Diceros bicornis minor: one gene and its partner. The protein of the gene in region 1 purifies or fractionates together with the protein of each later gene. This does not show direct contact. Links are inferred from orthologs where the notes say so. Each region holds a gene or a part of one and is shown on either strand. Other genes may lie near its edges.

Region 1 (10,422 bases):
GCTCCAGAGTACATGTGCTTAACTACCTCACTATACTATTTCTCCTTAATAGTATAGGAAGGCTGATCCCTGAACTTTTTCTAGGCTATAGACTCACCTATTGGACCAGGACCTTCAGCCCTGGATCTGCAACAATCTCTGGGAGGGAGTTTTTCAGGTTAGGAAATGGAGGTTGATGTGGGGTCAGAAGAAAGGATGGGACAAAAGTTTCTGCTCTCCCAGTCCAGAACAATTGAGGTCAGGGTGCTTGGGACAGGGACTGGACCATTGGAGGGTCAGTAAAATATTTTCCTGATGCATTCCATCACCTAGAGATAGTCCAAGGAAAGAAGGCTAGGAAGGAGTCTGTATGCTGTTGAAAGAACTGGGCAAAAGCCGCTCCTTCACCCCGCTTCATACTCCTCAGTTCCTATGTGATGGGTTTTTGTTGACCAGAGGCCTGGTTAAATCCTCCCTCCACACTTTTCCCTCCCAATGCCTCAACCCGAGTTACATCCTTGTGTTTCCAGCCTGTTCAGAGGTATCATAGTAGCCAAGGACCCTGGTTGTGGAAGTAGCTGCCCTTTTCTTGTTAATTTTACTTTCTCTAGCTCTTTTATCTCTTTAGATAGTTTTCTTTCTGTCTTCTCTCAGATATTCCTATACCAGATTGGACCTAATGAATAAATGACACTAAGAACTAGATCTTCTCTAATGGCTGTACATGTAGGTTATAACTCTTTAAACCTTAAAAGGCATATGAGAAGAGCATGAGAAAGGAAAACCCAAAATATCAACCCACTTAAGTGGAGAAACAGCTGGGCCAGTACCTAGGGAAGTGTACTTAAGCGAGCCTACATGCAGAAAATGTCCTGGGGTGAGGTAGAAGTTGCGTCTAGAAGGCAAAAGAAAGTTGAGTGGAGCCTTTTGTGCTCTAAGGGACGGATGAGTTTCCTCTGAGTGAATAGCTATAGCTGCTCACTTCCTTCCTCAGATTTCGCTGTGCTGTTCAATATGGTAGTCACTAGTCACATGAAGCTAGGTAAATTTAATTAAATTAGAAATAAAAATTCAGTTCATCAGTCACAGTAGCCACATTTCAGAGCTCAATAGCTATGTGTGGCTAGTGGCTACTGGCTACTGTATTAGTGCAAATATAGAACATTTCCATCATCATAGAAAGTTCTATTGGACACTGCTCAATATGAGGTATTAGGGTATCAGGAGGGGCTGCACATGTTCTGGCCCCTTGAGGATCAAATCTCTAACAGACCTTGGGTGAAGTTTATCTACTCTTTCCACACCATCTCCTTCTCATATCTCGTACCAGTAGCCAGGCTGTGTACACAAACGGCCAGGCTTATGTGTTCCATGGTCTCTCCATCCCTTTGTCCTTCCCTCTGGCCTGCTCTTGTCCTTGCTCCACCCTTCCAGTCCCTGGAAAACAAGCTGCAGAAAAAACTTTTCCATCAACTTTGACCTAGTTTCCTGGTCACAGATTCAAAAAAGGGAGGAGCTACTAAATTCTTGAACAGGTAGGAAGAAAAGGAGACGGCAGAGGTAAGAGTCACCATGGCAACTGAGATCTAGAGACTGACACCTTGAGAAAGAAAAAAGGAGAACCAGGAGAGAGCAAACAAGCTACTGAGAATGAAGGAAAAGACACAACAAAGGGAAGATTGAAGCGGAAAAGAAGCTTTTCAATCTTTCTGTTCAATTCATGTTGATTTTATGAACTTCCCAAGAGCCTGTTTGGAGTGGAGGTCCATAGGAAAACTGACCCCATCAAATAAGGGCCAGAACTAGATCTGTCTGCAAAGGTTTAAATGAGCCAGAAATCAGAAAGTATATTAACTTCTGCCATCTCAGGGTTTCTCATCCTAGTCACTCTTTTAGGAATAATAAAAATCATTTCAATTAGAGAGGGAATTGTGGTATCAATCTATTGTTATTACTCTACAAGGAAGAAATACAAACTGCTAAAGCATATCCTCAGAGATGAGGGTGGGGTTGGATATTTAGCAAACCTTTACTGAGTATGATTATGTGCTTGGATAGGAACTGTGCTCAGAACTGCTAAGATAAAAAATGATAGATTGCCTTCAAAGAATTTAATACTTGTAACTCTAAATCCATAACACCTGAATAATTATCATCTTATGTCTTATTGCATATAAACAAAGTTTACACTAGGAAAAAACTCTTATGATAAAACCAAATTATAAAATATGGAACCAAAACCCTTTCCTTCCAAATCTCCCCAGAAACCTCATTTCCTTGTATTTCAAGAGCTCCTTAAAAAAAAAAACCTTACACACTCCAAACTTCAAACAATTTAGTAATGATAAGTGATGGATGTAGAAAACTAGCTTAGACCACCAGAAGATCCCATTGCAGTTTTTTGTGTGTGTGAGAGGAAGATTAGCTCTCAGCTAACATCTGTTGCCAATCCTTCTCTTCTCTGCTGAGGAAGATTGGCTCTGGGCTAACATCTGTGCCCATCTTCGTTTACTTTATACGGGACGCCCCCACAGCATGGTTTGGTAGTTGGTGCCTCTGTCCTTGCCGGTGATCAGAACCTGTGAACCCTGGGCCACCGAAGCCGAGCGCAAGAACATAACCACTATGCCACCGGGCCGGCCCTGCCCACTCCCCCGCCCCACTATAGGTTTTTAGTGAATTGGAAGAAAAGACTAAACGTACTTCAAATTCCTTCCCTCTTCACCCCTCCAACCTCCACTCTGACTATATTCATTAGTCAACAAGGAATGTTCTCTACCGAGTTTTCAAGAACATGAATTGGTCAAGTAGGGGTAAAGCTCCTTTAGGCACACTTTCTAATAATTTCTCCAACACCATTTCACAGAAAAGAAAACAAGCAGTTTTGCCATTAAAAAAACTTTTTTTATTTTTTTACAAAGAATACCCCCACCTGGGGTGAAAATATATCTGGTTAAGTACAAAATATAGTTTTTATCATACAAAAAGATACACAATTAAAAAAAATAAAACCACCTTCAGTCCACATACTTTCTCAAAAAAAGGGTGGAGAGCGGAGTGCTCTGACACAGGACAGTGAACAAAGTGCTAAGGCTGAGGGTGACCAAGTGCTAGCGGCTGCAGTGAGAGAGGGGCTGTCAACATCCCTGTCTCTAATAGTGGGCAGGAAGGGAGCCCTGGGGGCTTTTGTGAAGACCTGCCCTCTAGTTTCTCATGGCAATGTCTGGAGGCTCTGATCACTGTGTTGGGGCATCTTGATCTAGAGTTCATCGTGTTGGGGCATCTTGATCTAGAGTGCCTCCTTGAGTTTGGAGAAGTCACAGTGGGCAAGGATGATAGCAGCAACTCTTCTCATATAATTATAGTGTCAGAACAGAATTCTGTACACTGGGACGAAGTCTCAAAAATAGAGTAACACTTTTTTTTTGTCATTGTGCTTACCCCTAGAGACGTAGTAGACCAGTTTTAGCTTACGTATGAGGGGAAAAAAACCCAAAAAGTTTGACAGGAACTAAAGTGCTAAGAACATCACCTCAGAATCAATTCCAAGGAGTCACATGAAAAGAAAAACATTCTCCCACATGAAAAATGTTCGCAACAGGAGAACACAGTGCAATCGGCTCTAAAAATGGCTTTTAAGACCTTTCACGGGGCACAGTTACTACTGCTTTAAGCCAAATTGAAGTACATTTTAAGCAAAGATAACCTTTCTTCCCTTTAATTCACATGGGAAGCTCTCTCCAAAGTCCAAACCAAATCAGCTCTGGAGAGTATTTCTTTTTTTTTTCTATAAGTATAGAAACAAAGGGCAACAATGATTTTAAGAATCTCCTTTTCCCAAAATTTTGGCCATCACTTTTTTTTCATTTTCCTAGTTTGCTAAATTAGCTCTGCTCCACATGGCACATAAGTTCAAGATCTAATACTGTTATAACCATCTGTAATCCCCTTCAAAAAACCTTGGGAAAACCATGCCAGGAGGCTATTTCTACCCCTTATTCAAAACTACTGAAAATGCCGCAATTTTCAAGATCTGAGAAAACAGGATGGGCCTGAGTTTGTCTAGTGTGATTTTAAACCCATCCAGCAAACACTCCTGTATCACAACATCTTGTTGGCTGAGAACGAGTGTGCACCCTTTAAGGCCCAGGAGATTGCCTGCTGATCACCTCCTAACATTGGGGAGTCAGAGGCTAGAGTGGACCTATAGCCCACTGTAGAGACCACTGAGTCTCTGAAAAAATAAGAGTCCAGGAAGCGAGGCAGAAAGAAACAAGTAGGTACAGCTGCTTCTTTTCTTCCATATGCTCACTGCACATTGTTGTTTAGAATGCAAGGATCCACCTGAGAGGAAAAAGAAAAGACCATTTTAGTTTGGGTAAGAAGGAAAACAACAACTCAGTTTAGCAATTCCTTCAATTCAACTTCCTATAGAAGGCTTCGGACAAATATAGTGGTAAAATGACAATTCTCACCTCAGTATAAGTAGGTGGTGGCATGAACTGGAACTCAGGAGCATACATAAAAATAGGGCTGTCTTGGCAACTATCTGTGTCATCTAGCAGAGGAGTGGTGGGGCTCTCCAATCGGTGATCTTCAGGAATGATATCCATATAGCAAGGAGGAGCTAGAGAGAGAAAGTATGGGGATAAGAAGCATGGCCAAGAAATACCTGACCACCACAATTTTACAAACCCAAACAGGCCAGAGGAGAAGAAAAGACCGTAGGTCTGGCTCACCTTCTGGGGTATCAGGGATGTTGAGATCTACCCAACTCATCTCAGAGCTGGTTTGGCTGGCCATGCTGGACGACCGGCTGCTCAGACCTGACCTGCTGCCAATTACCAGGGGCAGGTCAAGAATGACCTTCTTGGAGCCAGGGACACTAACATAGATCTAGAAAAAAAGATGGCACTTTGTTAGACTAGAGGTCTGGAGAAAACACCACTGTTATTTTGACAGATGAACAATTTCTCTCTCCAACCCCACTCACTCACCAGTAAGGAATATTCAACTCGAAGGATGTTGCAGCCCAGGATAGAAGGCCTGATCTTCTGCACCCGAAGGCTCTTGCCACGCCATGACGCACAGGTTCCTGAGATAATATGATTGCCTCTGACTGATGACAACTTCTGTGTCAATACCTTGGTTTGGCCATTGGCAAGGTAAGTATGGCGGGCTACAATGGCAGCTTTGGGGATCACAATGCGGGAACATGTATTCTCAAAGTCAGCATGGATGGCAATCTCATCACCTAGCAATGACAAAGATGAAAACTAACGCTCAGTATGGCTAATGACTTTTCTTCTGTTCCTGTCCCCTGTCCTCACCCCACCTCCAAGCCCACATTCCTGTTTTATCAGTCTACCATTTTAAGCCCTAGGTTTTTACCTTCACAAAATCCTTTTCTGTCAATTCTGGCAGAGACAGACACTCGTCCATCAGGAATGAACATGCAGGAAACTTTCTTTTCCTTTTTAGCAGACACAGGTGCCTATGTAGAAGGGTGGGACAGACATTTTGAGAATTTCTAGAGATCCTTTCTCTTTTTCCTTTCCACTCCTTACCTAGAGTAGGCAGCTTTCCCTCCCACCTTCATGACAGGATTTGATTCCCTGAGGTGCTTCAATCTAATGCCCAAGACATTTGACTTATCATCCCTGAGACCCAGGAGAATAGAATCTTAAACCTCACCATTAAATCAGGAGTATTGACATCCACTAGATCCATCACTTCAAAGCTTTTCTTTGTCTCTTGAGTTGGCTGGCTGGGGCGATCAAGAAAAGCCTTCACCCAGTAGTCTACACACCCATACTTTCCTTTGAAGGATGTTCCTAGAGGCCTGTGTCAAGAAAAAGGAAACAATTCAAAAATGCTCTCCCAGAACAGTAAGTGATCTCCTCAAAGGAAGGGAAAATTTTTAGAGACAGAAAAGTCCAAAGATGCATTTAGCTGATACCTACCCTTGAGGAAGCTCAAAGCCGAACTTGTACTCATATATGTTTCCAGGTCTCATGATCACCATCTCATTCTCACCTGAAAGGAGACAAAAGCAAGTAGCCCTTAGGTTTCTTGTTACACTGAAAACGCATCTGTGTGATAAGGAATTCTTGGGCAGCAAGCAAAAAGTGTTGCAGTACCCCCATTTTCATCTCTTATGTTCTTATAGGAGAGATTCTGAGGCATTTTGTTGGACAACAAGTTGCAAAGCCCTGCAATACTGAATGACTCAACCAGGACAGTTAATCTACTAACATCTCAAACAGGAAGCAAGCAAAGAATAAGCAACTTATGCATACAGAAAATCTTTAAATAGCTAAGGCAACATCCCTCAGAATCACCTTCAGAACACAGCACCAGTAAGAAATTGTACAAATCAACCTTTTATTTTGGGGAGGTGGGGGGATTTGCAAATTAAAACTAAAAAAGATAAGGTAACACAAAATTCAAACCACTCAACCTAAGCAACTTATAATATTTAGTACAGGCTCCACTTATTCGTTTCAATTCTCGTCTCAAGTCAGCTGTCACCCTCCAGCAAATAACTGGGCCACTCACCTGCTGGCTGGTCTTCCAGCAGAAGCGTGTCTTCGTAGCGCAGGTACTCCAAAGCCTGTTTGCACTGCTGGGATCCTTGCATCCAGAGGACTTTGGCCACTCCGCAAGCCAGGATCCTGACAGCTTTCACTCGAGTGACTTCACATACCTCCACTATCACCCGGCCAGCCACCTTCTCCCCACTGCCGAACACCTTTTCAGGGTCGTTAAAGACCACCTCGAAAGACTTCATCTTCTTGAACATCACCATGATGGGGCTGGGTTGGCTCAAGAGTTAGAAATGGGGAAAAACAAAACCCCTTTGCAATAAATTAAGATTACTTCACTCAATTCTCTACTAAATTTTTGAAAAGATGTCCAAACAATGTAAGCTGCTTGCTATGCCAAGGGATTTCAAGAGAAAAATAGGATCTCTCTTTTCTTTCCTCCAACAGCTGGAGGGAGCGCCGGATCTCGGCGGAAGAACTAACAGCACTCCAGCCACAGAGACAGAAGGATAGTTTAAATCGAGAGCCGGAAACTGCTCTATATAGTAGCCCAGGCAGGCAGGGCCACGCGAGTGCTGGCCGGGAGGCTCGTGCTGCCCTCGTGCACAGCCCTCCCATTGGCTGCCTGGTCCTTGTTTACCAGTAGCTGAACCAATCAGCGAGGTCGCAGTGGCGCGTGGACACGGTGTGCTCTTGGCGCGGGGGAAAGAGGTTGTTATGCCGCGCTGCCTCGCAGGGAGGAGGGGGTGAGGAGGGGGTGGGGAGGGGGTGGAGGGGCTTCGGCGCGGCTTGCCTGCGGCCGGAAGGAGGTGGGGGTGTCGCTGACCCTAACATTTATTCAGGGCCCGTGGCTGTCGAAGGGCGGGTGCGGATGATTTTGGGCTGGGAGCGGTGTTTTGAGGTAAAAGGAAATGTGCTTATGAGGGAATTTCGTGCGGAGCCTTAGCCAGAGCACTTCATTTAGAGGCGACCGTTTATTTCCGGCTCAGAAGTCGCAAGTCGTGTGAAAAACAATCCCACAGCCCCAAGAATACTTAAGGATTGGAGTGGAGGACAGGGAGTGCTGGCGTTACTGTTCAGGAAGAGCCCCTTTTTCCTTCTCTCGCCCCGCATCTCTATTAAACAAACAGAACTGCTGTCTGTAAAGGAAAGGAGAATTTGTCACAAATTTTAAATCTCTCTTCTGTCCTCATTGGAAAGCGAGTATGTGGGACTGGTCGGCCTTCTCCCTCCCTTTGTCCGGGACTGTGTGCCTGTGCTGTTCCTCAGCTCCCGTACCCTGTGTTCTGTTCTCTGGAACGGAAATAGTAAGGGCGTCTTCACATCCTGTTGCTTATCCCCTCATGTCTTCAGTTTCCACCTGCAAAGTTGGGGAACACTGTGTTCTCCCAGTTGCCTCATTACCTCTTTAGGAAGGTGTGTTCTTGAGGCTCTGATTCTCTCTCACTCCTTCCCTGCTTCTTCAGGAAAGGAGAGGGAAAAAAAAGGATGCTTCACTCTTTCCACTTTCTTCCTGAGTTACTTCCCATTCTGTCGTCTTCATCTCGTCTTCAACTCACCAAATCAAAGGTACATCCCTAAAACTGTTGCCCACACTCCTCACAGTCTTCAAGTTAGTTAAGAGCGGGAAGGTGCTCTTGTTTATAACCAAAGTATCAGTGAAGAGATGGCTGTATTCCTGTTTGAAGGAAGAATTTCCTTATCTTTTAAAAGTTTTTTCTTAAGTTGTTTAAAAATCGGTAAGAAAGGAAAGAAGACAAAAGGGTCGTGAGAACACTGTACGTTCAAGCTAAAAGAGACCCTGACTTCTCTTTCTTGCTGTCGTTTGGTTGTCAGATGGGTTGGTCCTGAGCTGGCAGTGAGATGCCTTAGGAGCTGACTCCTGAGAAATTATTCATAAATGCAATAAAAACTTGTATGCAGAGATACTGGGATTCTTCCCCCTTTTCTTTGGTTCCTGGTTCCCTCCCATGTCTGTTTTGGGATATCAGGAGCTTATTACTTCATTTCTTGTGCTGGAAAGAGGAAGATAATGTCCCCAAGATTGAGATGGGGAAGTGAATAGAAGCGTTAGAATATACAGAAATCCTACTCTCTCAGCAAAAAGAGGGCTATTAATTGCTGTTAAGGATCCTTTTTCCTTCCTGGTACACCCTAAGTAGATTGCTAAGGTAAGGCTAACAAGTTACAACTCAACCCCAATATTAAGCAAGCTCAAGAAACAGGCATTAAGACTGTTGGAAAACACACACAAACAGCACCAATCCCCAGGAACAAAAAGGGGAACATGTTGATCCTTAGGGTGTGTGGGTTTGAGGTGGCACCCTGTTCTAGAAAGTTCACTGACAAGGGCTGAGTTGTTTTCAGTCGGTCAACAATATTGATTGAATTATCGGGAGCAGGGAAGGTGGGACTCGCACTAAAGTCATTTTAAAAATTCAAATTGTGGCTTCCGGGAGACCTTTAGTTTGATGAGTATGAAAGTGTACATAAATATGAAACATCAGTGTTTACAAAGAAATACATGAATCAATATTGTTAAACAGTGTTGATATGTAACTACATAAATTTTGAGGGGATGGGGGAGAGTTGGGTTGTCATAGGTCAAGGTGGTATTAAGGATGTATTTGAGAAAAGGGAATGCTGATATTTATTTGGGCATATCTATGAAGGGCTGAATTTTTGAGTTTTTAAAAATCTTAATACAATTCTCTTTTGCTGTAAGTTCCTCTTATGGGCTCCCGTTTCTTCTTTCTTTCCCCTTTTGCAGAACTCAGTAGAGACCACTTGTTTGCTCTGTGTTGTGCCTGGGTTCCCTTAAATGCCAAAAAGCTATTTAGCTTTGGCAGCAAGCAGCTGACTGTCAGGCCTATAGCCAAAGCATGTTCTGAAATGGAGCCCTCCTGGACAGAGTTGTTTACAACCTTTCACCTTATACCCCAGTATGCTGATAAAAATCTGTCCCGATTTTTCTTTCTCAGTTCCTTATTGGAAGGAAGAAAAAATCTTGTGAATTCCTGTTCTGAAAACAGTGTACAAGCACTTGTGGGGTGCAGGGGGGGAAAAAGGCAGGCCCAGGAGGAACAACAAAGTAGGGCTAAGTCCAGGAGTTTTGCAGGTTTGGTCATCTTTATCTGCTCCTTCCCCACCCTCTTCAATTCCAGTGCCAGTAGGAAACCAAGTGGTGATTGTTTGCTGTACTGGAGTTGATTGAGTAAAGCCAAAGCTTTCAGGGAGGGAAGTACCCTCAGCACTCTGTTGCATTTCTCTTTTCCTTAACCTGTGGCCTGAAGACATTTAAAACTCTAAAGACTCGTAGTTCCTAACGCAAAACAAACCCCTTTCTTTGTCCTTTTAATCTCTTCTGTCACCTTCACTCTGTAAATTTCCGTTTACCGTTATCCATCAGCCAGTTCCCATTTTTCCCTAGGGAATATTAGTTTAGAGGCGAATAAAGGTCGAAAAGAGAGTGGGAAATTTGAGACTGCTCAACTGTGTGTATGCCTCCAAGTCATAGATAAATAAGAATATATTAATAATTGTATAGCATCTTAGAGTTCAAAGTGACTTTTTTGTCATTTATTGAGCCCCTGTAATGGACCAAAGTCTTTTACATAGTTATCTCAATGATATTTTAAAATTTATCTGTCATCTTGTTCCAGAAAGGATTTAAAAATGGTTAGATTATTTCATTTAATTCTCACAATAACCTTGTGACTCAGGGTTGATTAAGTCAAGCTCAGAGGGTTAAGTAATTTGCCTGAGGTCACAGATTTTGTCACTACAGCAAGATCTTGAACCCAGGTCTGTCTATCTAAAGTATGTACTCTTTCTAATGTGTTGTCCTGCGTTTCGGTGCTTTAACACACCATATCTTGTTTGATCTTCACTGTAAAGG
Region 2 (10,422 bases), on another chromosome or scaffold:
CCCCCAGGCTCCTCCGCGTCCCGAGGCTCACCTCCCGACAGTGTATATAGAACAAGTAGTCAAACCTGTTTCGATAAAGTTTCTCGGACGCCCAGTCCAACATGATCTTCCTGGCCAGGATCGTTTTCCCAATGCCCGCTGCTCCCTGGAATACCACCGTGTGCACGGGCTCCGAGTGCTGGTCGTCGGGCTCGAACAGCAACTCCAGGTTCATGGAACTCATGGGGCAGTCCCGCGTCTTGGCCGAGGTCCTGCCGATGGCCAGGAGCTCGTGCTCCCTCTCCTGCTGGCTGCGGTGCTCCTTGACGAGACACAGCCTGGTGTAGCGTTTGTTGAGGTTCACGCTCTCGCCCAGACGGGCATTCCTGTCTTTGATGCACTGGAACCTGCTTCTCACGTGCTTTCTGTACTTCTTACAGTAATCTGCAGTAGACACAGAAGGTTAGACTTTGGGAGAAGCCCAAACACGTCCACCAGAGATGATCTGTCACAGGGGCCTGTGGTTGGCAGGGAGTGGTGACTGAAACTACAAAATGGGAGGTGCAGTTTCTCTCCACTGCTTGGGTACAGGTGGCCCCAGAAATCTAGGATGTTAGACTCTTCCTATCTATACACAGCTGAGCAGAAGAGCAGCGAAGTGCCGTACGTGCTGCCCTGGCCAGAAAACCCTTTTTTTTTTCTTTTGTGAGGAGATCAGCCCTGAGCTAACATCCGCCAATCCTCCTCCTTTTTTGCTGAGGAAGACGGCCCTGGGCTAACATCGGTGCCTATCTTCCTTCACTTTATATGGGACGCCGCCACAGCATGGCTTACCAAGCAGTGCATCGGTGCGCGCCCGGGATCCGAACCAGCGAACCCCGGGCCGCCGCAGCGGAGCGCGCGCACCGGGCCGGCCCCCAGAAAACCCTTTTTATTCATCATTACTCCTTGAGGTGGTCTGCAGCCCACGCCTTTTAAAACCTGCAGCACTCGGTCCCAATCGCCTCCCCTTGGTTCCGGGACTACAAGGAGCCCCGCGAACATGGGCCCTTCCTTCAGCTGTCGTGGATGTCCTGAGATGGGCCTCTGTATCCTGAGAAGCAGGAGCGTGCAGGCTGACCAAGCTCCCCAGCTCCCCAGTGCCTCCCAAACTGGGTCTCCAAACCCAACTGGAACTCCCACCCTCATGGCTTACCTTTCTTTTTTTTACAAATAGAGATTCTGGAGAGGTACCCCAGTAAACCTATCCATTCCTCTTCAACACTTTCTTCTTGGCATATCACATGCGAATGATCTGAAAATAAAAGGAAAAAGATACAAAATGTCAAAACCCAGGACTCCTGACTAAGGTGATGTGATTGAGACCCAATACCCAACACCGGGCACAGGTCAGAGCTCCTGGCTGGACCCCTCCCAACCAGCACACGGCTCAGAGCTGTGGCTGACAGGAGGGCAGGTGAACACCAGCTGAGGGTGTCCCTGCCATCCTAATTTCAAAGCAGTGGATGTCACCCACCCAGCCAGCATTGTGGCCCCTCTTATCAAGTTGAGGAATCGCTCCCCCAGGCCTGGAAATCACTGGCAGGCAAGGCTTCCCTCACCTCCTTTGTCTTTGGGAGACTCCCCTCACCACCCCACCCTGCTGGGGTTCTGGTTTTGAGGCCCTCCCCACGCTCTGCAATATCCCCAAGATGGCCACGGGCCAGCGGGAGCATCCTTCCCTGACCTCAAACGCCTGGAATTCATCTTACCCACATTCTGGGTCTCCCAAAGTGAGAATCTGTGTCTAACTCAGCGGTTCAGAATCCTGGCTGACATTAAGAAGCTTTAAGAGGTGGGGCCCAGGCACCACTAAGTTTTAAAAGCTCCAACATGCATCCACAGTTGAGCATCACAGATGTAAACAATCACGAAATCACATATTCCAAAGAGGCGTCCACAGGAGAAATTTAGGCATGGTAGGACAAGAGTTGGCACAGGGGAAACACATGGGCAGAGAACCTGAGGAGGGCAGGAGACCAAGAACGACATAAAGGACTCCTGGTAGGTGTCTACTTATTCTGCGGGCAAATGGTATTGGTAACCCAATCACAAAACAAAATGGCTTGCTGCACTTACACAGTGAAGGCAAAAGTTCATCTGAAAGTGCCGGCCTCATGGGGTTTGTGTGAGGAATGAACAAAATCCACGAAACTGCCTGCAAACGACTTCTGCAACCACAACCGTCACCCTTGACTGTGGTTGGTGAGTAGCAGGCGCTGACGCAGTTATGGTTGTACTATTACAGCAGTTTCTCCAGAGCACCCCACTGCCGTGCGCCCCTGCCTCGGGTCCTGGGCATTTTTCTCCCCTTCTTCATACCCACGTTGCCTTCCCGCCTCATCATGCTTCTCCCCAGCTACCAAGCACTTTTACTCCTCCTTCCCACCAGCTCAACATCATCATCCTTGAGGTTCTAGATCCTTCTGAGTCCTTCCTTGTGCCCCTCCCTTGCTCAGAACACCAAGCTTAAGGAAGAGCGTGTTGGGGCCGGTCCCGTGGCGTAGCGGTTAAGTGCGCGCGCTCCGCTCCTGGCGGCCTGGGTTCGGATCCCGGGCGCGCACCGAGGCACCGCTTCTCCGGCCATGCTGTGGTGGCGTCCCACATAAAGTGGAGGAAGATCGGCACGGATGTTAGCTCAGGGCCAGTCTTCCTCAGCAAAAAGAGGAGGATTGGCGTGGATGTTAGCTCAGGGCTGATCTTCCTCACACACGCACAAACACACTAAATAAATAAATTTAAAAAAAAAAAAAAAAGAAAGAGCGTGACCCCGAGCATGCCCACAGGATGCAGGAAATTTCTTTCACCATTCCAGTGCCCAAAGTCATGGCCACAGGAAAGGCTTTTCTGTGAGGTGAGAGCTGGCCCCCTGAGCCATGGGAAGCAGACACTCAAGCTTGCTGGCTGTGCAGACAGACACATGAGGAGCTGGATGAGAGATTCAGATAAAGTGAAGCTAAACAGGGGAGGTTCCTAGGGGTAGATGAGCCCTGACGTGGGGTTTTAAAGGAACTAGAAAAAAGCAAAGTGCTTTCCTCCATCTTCTCATAGTACCGTCATGAGAAGAAGAGAGAGGATGAAGCCAAGATAATAAAAGAATTGATTAAAAAACAAACATACTGGGCTGGCCCCGTGGCGTAGCGGTTAACTGTGCGCACTCCACTGCTGGCGACCAGGGTTCAGATCCGGGCACGCACCAACGCACCGCTTGTCAGGCCATGCTGTGGCGGTGTCCTACATAAAGGGGAGGAAGATGGGCACGGATTTTAGCCCAGGGCCAGTCTTCCTCAGCAAAAAGAGGAGGATTGGCAGATGTTGGCTCAGGGCTGATCTTCCTCACAAAAACAAAAAACAAAAAAACACCAAACATACTAGCTTTGACACATTAAAGGAAACTATCAACAGAGTGAAAAGGACCCCACGAAATGGGAGAAAATATTTGCAGATCATACATCTGATAAGAGGTTCATATCCAGGATATGTGAAGAACTCCTACGAGTCAACAGCAATAACAACAAAACCCAATTAAAACATGGGAAAAGGACTTGAATAGACATTTCTCCAAAGGTAAACAGACGGCCAACAAGAACATGAAAAGACACTCGATGTCACTAGTCATCAGGGAAATGCAAATCAAAACCACAATGAGATACCATCTCACACCCCATACGATGGCTACTATCCAAAAAAAAACCCCGTAACATACTTGTTGGCGAGGATGTGGAGAAGTTAGAACCCTTGGGTGTACACTGTGGGTGGGAATGTGAAATGGTGGAGCCACTATGGAAAATATTATGAAACATAGAATTACCATATAATCCAGTAATTCTACTTCTGGGAATATACCCAAAGGAAATGAAAGCAAGGTCTCAAAGAGATTTGTACACCCATGTTCATAGCAGCATTGTTCACCATAATCAAAAGCTAGAAGCAGTCTGAATGTCCATTGATGGATAACAAAATGTGCTACATACATACCATGGAATATTATTCAGCCTTAAAAAGGAATGAAATCCTGTCACATGTGACAACATAGATGAAGCCTGAGGATATTATACTAAGTGAAATAAGCCAGACAGAAAAAGACAAGTACTTTATGATTCCATTTATAAGAAGTCTGCGGAATGATCAAATTCATAGAGACAGAAAGTGGTGTTTGCCAGGGGCTGAGGGGAGAGGCGAATGAGGAATTGTTGCTTAATGGGTGTGGAGTTTTGCAAGATGAAAAAGAGTTCTGGAGATTGATTGCACAACAACGTGAATGTGCTTAGCACTACTGAATCATACACTTAAATACGGTAAATTTTAAGCTACATCTATTTTATCACTATTTTAAAAATACCTTCTTGTTTCCACTCACCCCACTCTGGCTCATCCCTCTTAGCTTTCTCGTGGAGGTCTCTCCTGTTGATCGCAGCAAAAATCCACACTGCCATGGCCCACGCCTTCTCCTGCCCGTTGAAGTCAATCATCAGGGTGGCGAGATCCACAGGATCTGCTTTCTCTGTTTGACCCCGAGGGAGCGGGGTGCCCTTCTGAGGAGGATAGTCTTCCAAGTGCATCTTGAATTTCTTCAGGTCTGCGTCCTCCAGGTCCTCCAGGTAGCGCGCCAGCTTGCAGCGGACGCCTGCCATGCTCTCCTGCAGCCCTGGTCAGGCAGCTTGGGCATACGTCCACACTGGGAAGTCCGGTGGTGAAAACAGCATATGGGTGAGGAACGTGTTTTTAAAAGTCCACCCTGAAGAGAACTAAACTATCAAAAACCCAGAAGACTGCAAGGAGGAAACATCACTGGGCTGTAACAAGTCGCCATCTTTGGTTTTGAAATGTGAGCCAAATACTTACCAGAAACTTTCCTGCCGGCTCTGCCCAGGACTGTGTCCTGAGCCATGGAAGAAAGTTTCCCTGTGGAGAGAAACAATAATTAAAACCACAGACTGGACCGCATTAACAGCATGATGGAAGCCCGCACTGCTTCACGGCGCCACCTCGACATATGGCCGGGGGCACCTGGTCCCACTGGTTACTGGGCTATGACCTCTGACAAGCTCTTCACTGTCCCTCACCTCAGTTTCCAAGTCTGTAAAATCACGGAGTGGGAAGGATGGCCTTTAAGTTCCTTCCAATTGAAAGACTCTGCTTCCTTGTTTCTGTTTTGACCCGAGGAAAGATGGATGGGGGATGAAAGAAGGAGGCCAGGGAATGACTGTGGTGATAGCAGAGCAGTGCACGGCTAGAGACAGAGGGAGAACATTGAGGCAGGCGGAGGAGGGGCTGCTCTGCGACTGCTCTTCTATCAATCCACTGATTGACGGAAACAGAAATGAGACGGGGCTTGGGGCGCGTAGGGGGAAGAGTGGAAACATATCCCTCTTTAATGTCTCCTGGTAAAATCTGTAATTGTGATAGGTATTAGAAAGGACATTTACGGAGAGCTTCTCGTGGGCTGGGCACTGCACTGATGCTTTTCCTCATCTAACCTCCCAAAGCCCTACGAGGTGCCTCTATTCCTAGCTCCGCTTTATGGAAGTAGAGACTGTCTTAGAGACGCTCAGAGAATTGCCCAGAGTTTCGCAGCCAGGAAGGGGCGAAGCCAGGATTTAGACCAGGGTCATCCGTTTCTGAGCCCACGCCGCTGCCCCTGCACTTTTCACAGCCTGAAAAGATAGGAGACCATTTCTTCCACCACTTAACTGTGTATCGTAGTCAGATAGAAACAAAAGTGATCAAAGACAATAGAATATACCATTAAAAGGAAAGCGTTTATCACACACAGCTTCTCACTGTGGCGTCCCCCACTCCATTTTCCTAACCGGACTTCAAGTTCCCCAGAGAGTGGAAAGCTGCTGTGTCTTTCAGTCTGCCACTTCAACTGGTTTTGGACAGATGAACACGCTGGATTTGTTTGGCCTTGAGTGCTTCGTATTCCTGAATTTGGAAAAGCACATCAGCCAAAGCCACCGATGATGCTAACAGGAGGCAGGGGCGCTGTGAAGCAGTGGAGCAAAGCGGAATTTATAACGACCACGGTCTGACGTTTGAGACGCCTCAACCACACTCATCTCTCCTTCTCCTATCGCCACTCGTGCCGCTCCACTCCTGGCCTCGCACAACCCCAAGTCTACCCCCTAATGTATTTGGTGGGGGGTCGAGGGGTCTCCAGACAGATCCACCAGCTCTGCAGACCCTCCCAGGTCCTGCTCCATCAATCTCTCATCCACAGCAGGACTCCGCCTCTCTGTGCTCCCCTGACCTTAACCCCAGTGCACTCTGCCCTGACGCTTACCCCTCTGGGCCTTTGCCTCATTTCCCCACACACGTCTCACCCACCCGCTCCCTGGTGGAATGCTGGAGTCATGGGGTAAGCCGTGGTTGCTGCCCGTGTCCTCGGCACCCCCCCAACACTTGCACACATAGAGTCCAAATGATAAACATAAAAGAACATTCCAGAATCATTGTTGGAGGACAGACTTGGAGGCTGGCAGAAGAAATCCCAAGTCCGTTAACCAAGGCGAGTCTGGCCCTCGACACCCCTCCCCATTATTCCCCGGCCCTTTCCGTCATCCTGCTCCGTGGAGCTGGACTCACCCAGATGTGGTCTCAGGAACAGCCGGAAAGGAAACTTGATGAATTTATAGCGGTCACAGCCCAGCAGGGGCAGGAAGGATGTGGTCTCAGTGTGGACTGAACGCGCTTGCATCACAGGCCGAGGCAGAGACTGAGGGTGACACACAGCTCCGGGTTTTCCAAACCGAATGCACAGTGTTTTCAAAGTTGAGCCTGGTGGTGGCTGGAGAAGTCTGGCCTCTGCTTGGTGGCCGTCAGGGCAGGGAGTGGGGGAAACTCGGTCAGTGCTTGAGGGGTGTTCCCTCTCACTCTCACAGCAGCCATGTGAGCGTGGTAGTGACAGAAGAGAGAGTGCAACGGGGGATCCCCCAGGGCGGGAAGTAGAGCGAGAGCTTGGCCCAGCGTCCAAGCACGGAGCCCATGCCCTTTCATGCGTCACGTGGAGGGGTCAGCAGGAGGTACAGATGCTCTCATCACCTCTTATTTATTTATTTTTTTTGTGAGGATGATTAGCCCTGAGCTAACATCTCTTGCCAATCCTCTCTCTGTCTCTCTCTTTTTTTTTTTTGCTGAGGAAGACTGGCCCTGGGCTAACATCTGTGCCCATCTTCCTCTACTCTATATGGGACGCCGCCACAGCATGGCTTGACAAGTGGTGTGTTGGTCCACACCCAGGATCCGAACCTGCGAACCCCAGGCTGCTGAAGCGGAGCACACAAAGTTAACTGCTATGCCACCAGGCTGGCCCCATCTCTTATTTTTTTTTTAAACCATCTTATAGAGGTAAGTATGCACCTATGAACCCATCACCACCGTGAACCCATCACCACCGTGAAGGCCATAAACACGTTTATCACCACCCAGACTTTCCTCCCACCCACCCCTTTGTTATTATTGTTGTTATCGTTATTATTATGATGATGTTGTGTGTGTGGTAAGAACACTTAACGTGAGACCTACCCTTTTAGTGGACATTACGTGAACAGGACAGTGTTATGGACGACAGGCTCTGTGCCGGACAGTCGCTCTCCAGGACTTAGTCATCCTGTGTGAAGGAAACTTCGTGCCCTTTGACTAATGGCTCCCCTTCCTCCCTCTCCCCAGCCCTGGCAACTGCCATTCTACTCTCTGTTTCTATGGGTATGACTATTTTAGATTCTTCATATAACTGATATCGTACAGAATTTGTCTTAGTTCACTTTACATAATGTCCTCAAGGTCCATCCATGTCGTCGCAAATGGCAGGATGTCCTTGTTTCTCATGGCTGGATAATATCCCATTGTGTATGTGTATATACCACATCGTCTTTATCCGTGCTTCCACTGATGGACACTCAGGTCGTTTCCATACCTTGGCTATCGTGAATAACGCTGCAGAGGACATGGGTGTGCAGACAGCTCTTCGGGGTCCTGATTTCAATTCCTTTGGGTAGGCACAAACTCTACTCCCTGACTCACGGCCTCACTGGCTCAACCGACACCTGTAGAGTACCTGGTGTGTTCCAGGCACAAACACAAGGCTGAAAAGCACCTTGCCTTCCCCAGGAGGAGCTGGAGGAGAGAGAAGCACCAGATCTGCTTTCCTCGCTCTGGCAGTGGCTGCAGGACCATGCTCTGACAATAGCATGACTTCTACAGAGTTTGGAAGGCAAGAGGCGCCCAGCACCCCAGGCAAGTGCAGGAACCCTGGAGCGAGAAGGACAGGTGTCCAAGTCCAGCAGAGGGGCGTTGGCAAGTGACTGTCTCTCTGTGCCTCGGTTTCCTTATCTGTAAAGTGGGGACAACAATGGCGCCTATTGTAAAGAGTTGTCATAAGGACTGAGCAAATAGATGGATATGGGGCCTTTCGAACAGAGAAGCTGGTGTTGGTGGTTGGTCCTGGTACTACTGTTGTCAGAGAATTACATGCAGAATGCTCCAAGGGGGGAAGAGAGGCAGTGGCTCCTCCTGAAGCCAGGGTGGGACAGCAGAGCTGAGTCTCAAGGTCGTCAGGGGCAGGGTACACGCAGGAGCAGCCGGGACGCCAGGTGCTGAGCCCGCAGAGAGCAGATCAGTCAGGCTCAAAAGGAAAGGAGCTCATTGGCTGAACCAGGGATTCTTTCTCTTTTTTTGAGGATGAGGGATCTTTTCCTTTTTCCTTTACATCTTTCTACAGCATTTGAATTTTTATTTTTTTGCCATGAACGTGCATTACTCATAAGAGTAAAGAAATAAATTAAACAATAAGTTAAACCAACTAACACTGCGTCTCTAGAGTAGGCCCTGAAAGAAATCCTCACGTTTGAATGATCATCAGAACGTCCCGTGAAGGCGGCAGGCACGGCTGAATGTCGTTTTACAGACGAAGAAACAGTCGTCGGTCAGAATTAGGTCTTTTTAAAGATCCAGGCAAGTGGTCAGTGGTGCGATTGATGCTTGAACTTGAGGCTTCTGGCTTCTAAGATGAGATTTAATTTTTCATTTCCAAATGATCAAAACAACTAATAGTGAATGTTTTTTCCCTCCTAGAACAATTACAGACTTTTCACACTTTCCTGTCTGGCATACATATCATTCCTTTCTAATACAGCGAACGGTTAGGCTGCACTGACCTGTAGTTTATGCTTTAGAGCTGTTGACTGCGGACTGTTGCTGTTTGTATTCGGCTGAGCTGAGTGAGGCAGGTCATTTACTTGAGGTACACATCCAGCCTTTCTCACGCGCAGGTCTGTGAGTTCTCACAAGCACGGTCGCCACGCAGCCACCGCCACAGTCGAGACGCAGAACACCTCCATCGCCCCCAAAGTCCTCCTTGTGCCACCGCACGATCAGCCTCTGTCCCCACCCAGATGCTGGCATCCACGGGCCAGCGCTCTGCCACTAAAGTCGTGCCTTTTCCAGGGAGTCACGTAAGCGGGATCCTGCGGCCGCAGCTTGTCCTCAGGTCCGTTCACCCCTTGGGGCGCACATGAGCTGCGTGCCTGTTTTGTCGGTGGGCTTTGTTCCTTCTTGTTGCTGGGTCAGCCAGTGGAGTGGACGCATCACAGGGTGTTTATCCACGCCCACACATTTGGGCTGTTTCCAGTTTTTGGCAATTGTCAGTAAAGCCACTATAAACATTCAAAAACAGATTTTTGTGTGAGTATGTTTTCACTTCTCTTGGGTAAATACCTAAAAGTGGAATGGCTGGATCATGTGGGAAGAGTATGTTTACCTTCTTAAGAAACTGCCAAACTGCCAAGGTGGCCACACCATTTTGCGTTCCCACCAGCAATGCACCCGTCTCCAGTCCCCGAGCCTCCTCCCCAAGCACGTGGCTGAATCAGTTGTGTTTTATTTGTTTAAGCCATTCTAATAGGTTTGTAGTGAACTAGGGAATTTAAGCAATGTTTTGAAAAATTCATGCAGCTGAGCTGGTTGCAATTATTTAAGGGCATCAGTCACAGGGAGGCTCGGGAGAGAGACGTGGTGCCCGGCTGTCACCACCCTGACACCCAGCTGCATCTCTCAGCTGGCCCATTCCCTTGGCTGGGAGGCTCAGATCAAACAATATCTGACAGAACGAGCAAAGCAGAAAGCAGTGTTCAGACACTGCTCCAGAATTTTGGAAAGATACTCTAATCATGTATGAAAACTAGGCAAGGGCCGGCCCCGTGGTTTAGCGGTTAAGTGCACGCGCTCCGCTACTGGCCGCCCGGGTTCAGATCCTGGGCGTGCACTGATGCACCGCTTCTCCAGCCATGCTGAGGCCGAGTCCCACATACAGCAACTAGAAGGATGTGCAGCTATGACATACAACTATCTACTGGGGTTTTGGGGGCAAAAAAAAAAAGGAGGAGGATTGGCAATAGATGTTAG

What was found. Proteins that work in one complex are often made in the same cells at the same time.
Region 2: the proteins of TXNIP (region 1) and NLRP3 purify together in Homo sapiens (affinity purification with western blotting, with the first as the bait; 4 studies listed by BioGRID). This does not show direct contact. The link is inferred for Diceros bicornis minor from reciprocal best matches to the Homo sapiens genes TXNIP and NLRP3.

What each region holds. Positions count from the first base shown.
Region 1 is NC_080743.1:53,490,258-53,500,679, forward strand, and holds TXNIP (thioredoxin-interacting protein), read right to left. Parts: upstream 7,019-10,422; 5' UTR 6,788-7,018; coding exon 6,538-6,787; intron 6,016-6,537; coding exon 5,943-6,015; intron 5,822-5,942; coding exon 5,674-5,821; intron 5,474-5,673; coding exon 5,371-5,473; intron 5,234-5,370; coding exon 4,977-5,233; intron 4,876-4,976; coding exon 4,719-4,875; intron 4,607-4,718; coding exon 4,455-4,606; intron 4,324-4,454; coding exon 4,288-4,323; 3' UTR 2,862-4,287; downstream 1-2,861. UniProt on the Homo sapiens protein: May act as an oxidative stress mediator by inhibiting thioredoxin activity or by limiting its bioavailability.
Region 2 is NC_080740.1:932,860-943,281, reverse strand, and holds the start of NLRP3 (NACHT, LRR and PYD domains-containing protein 3), read right to left. Parts: upstream 6,661-10,422; 5' UTR 6,607-6,660; intron 4,924-6,606; 5' UTR 4,864-4,923; exon of another isoform or gene 4,697-4,863; 5' UTR 4,653-4,696; coding exon 4,379-4,652; intron 1,274-4,378; coding exon 1,175-1,273; intron 424-1,174; coding exon 1-423. UniProt on the Homo sapiens protein: Sensor component of the NLRP3 inflammasome, which mediates inflammasome activation in response to defects in membrane integrity, leading to secretion of inflammatory cytokines IL1B and IL18 and pyroptosis.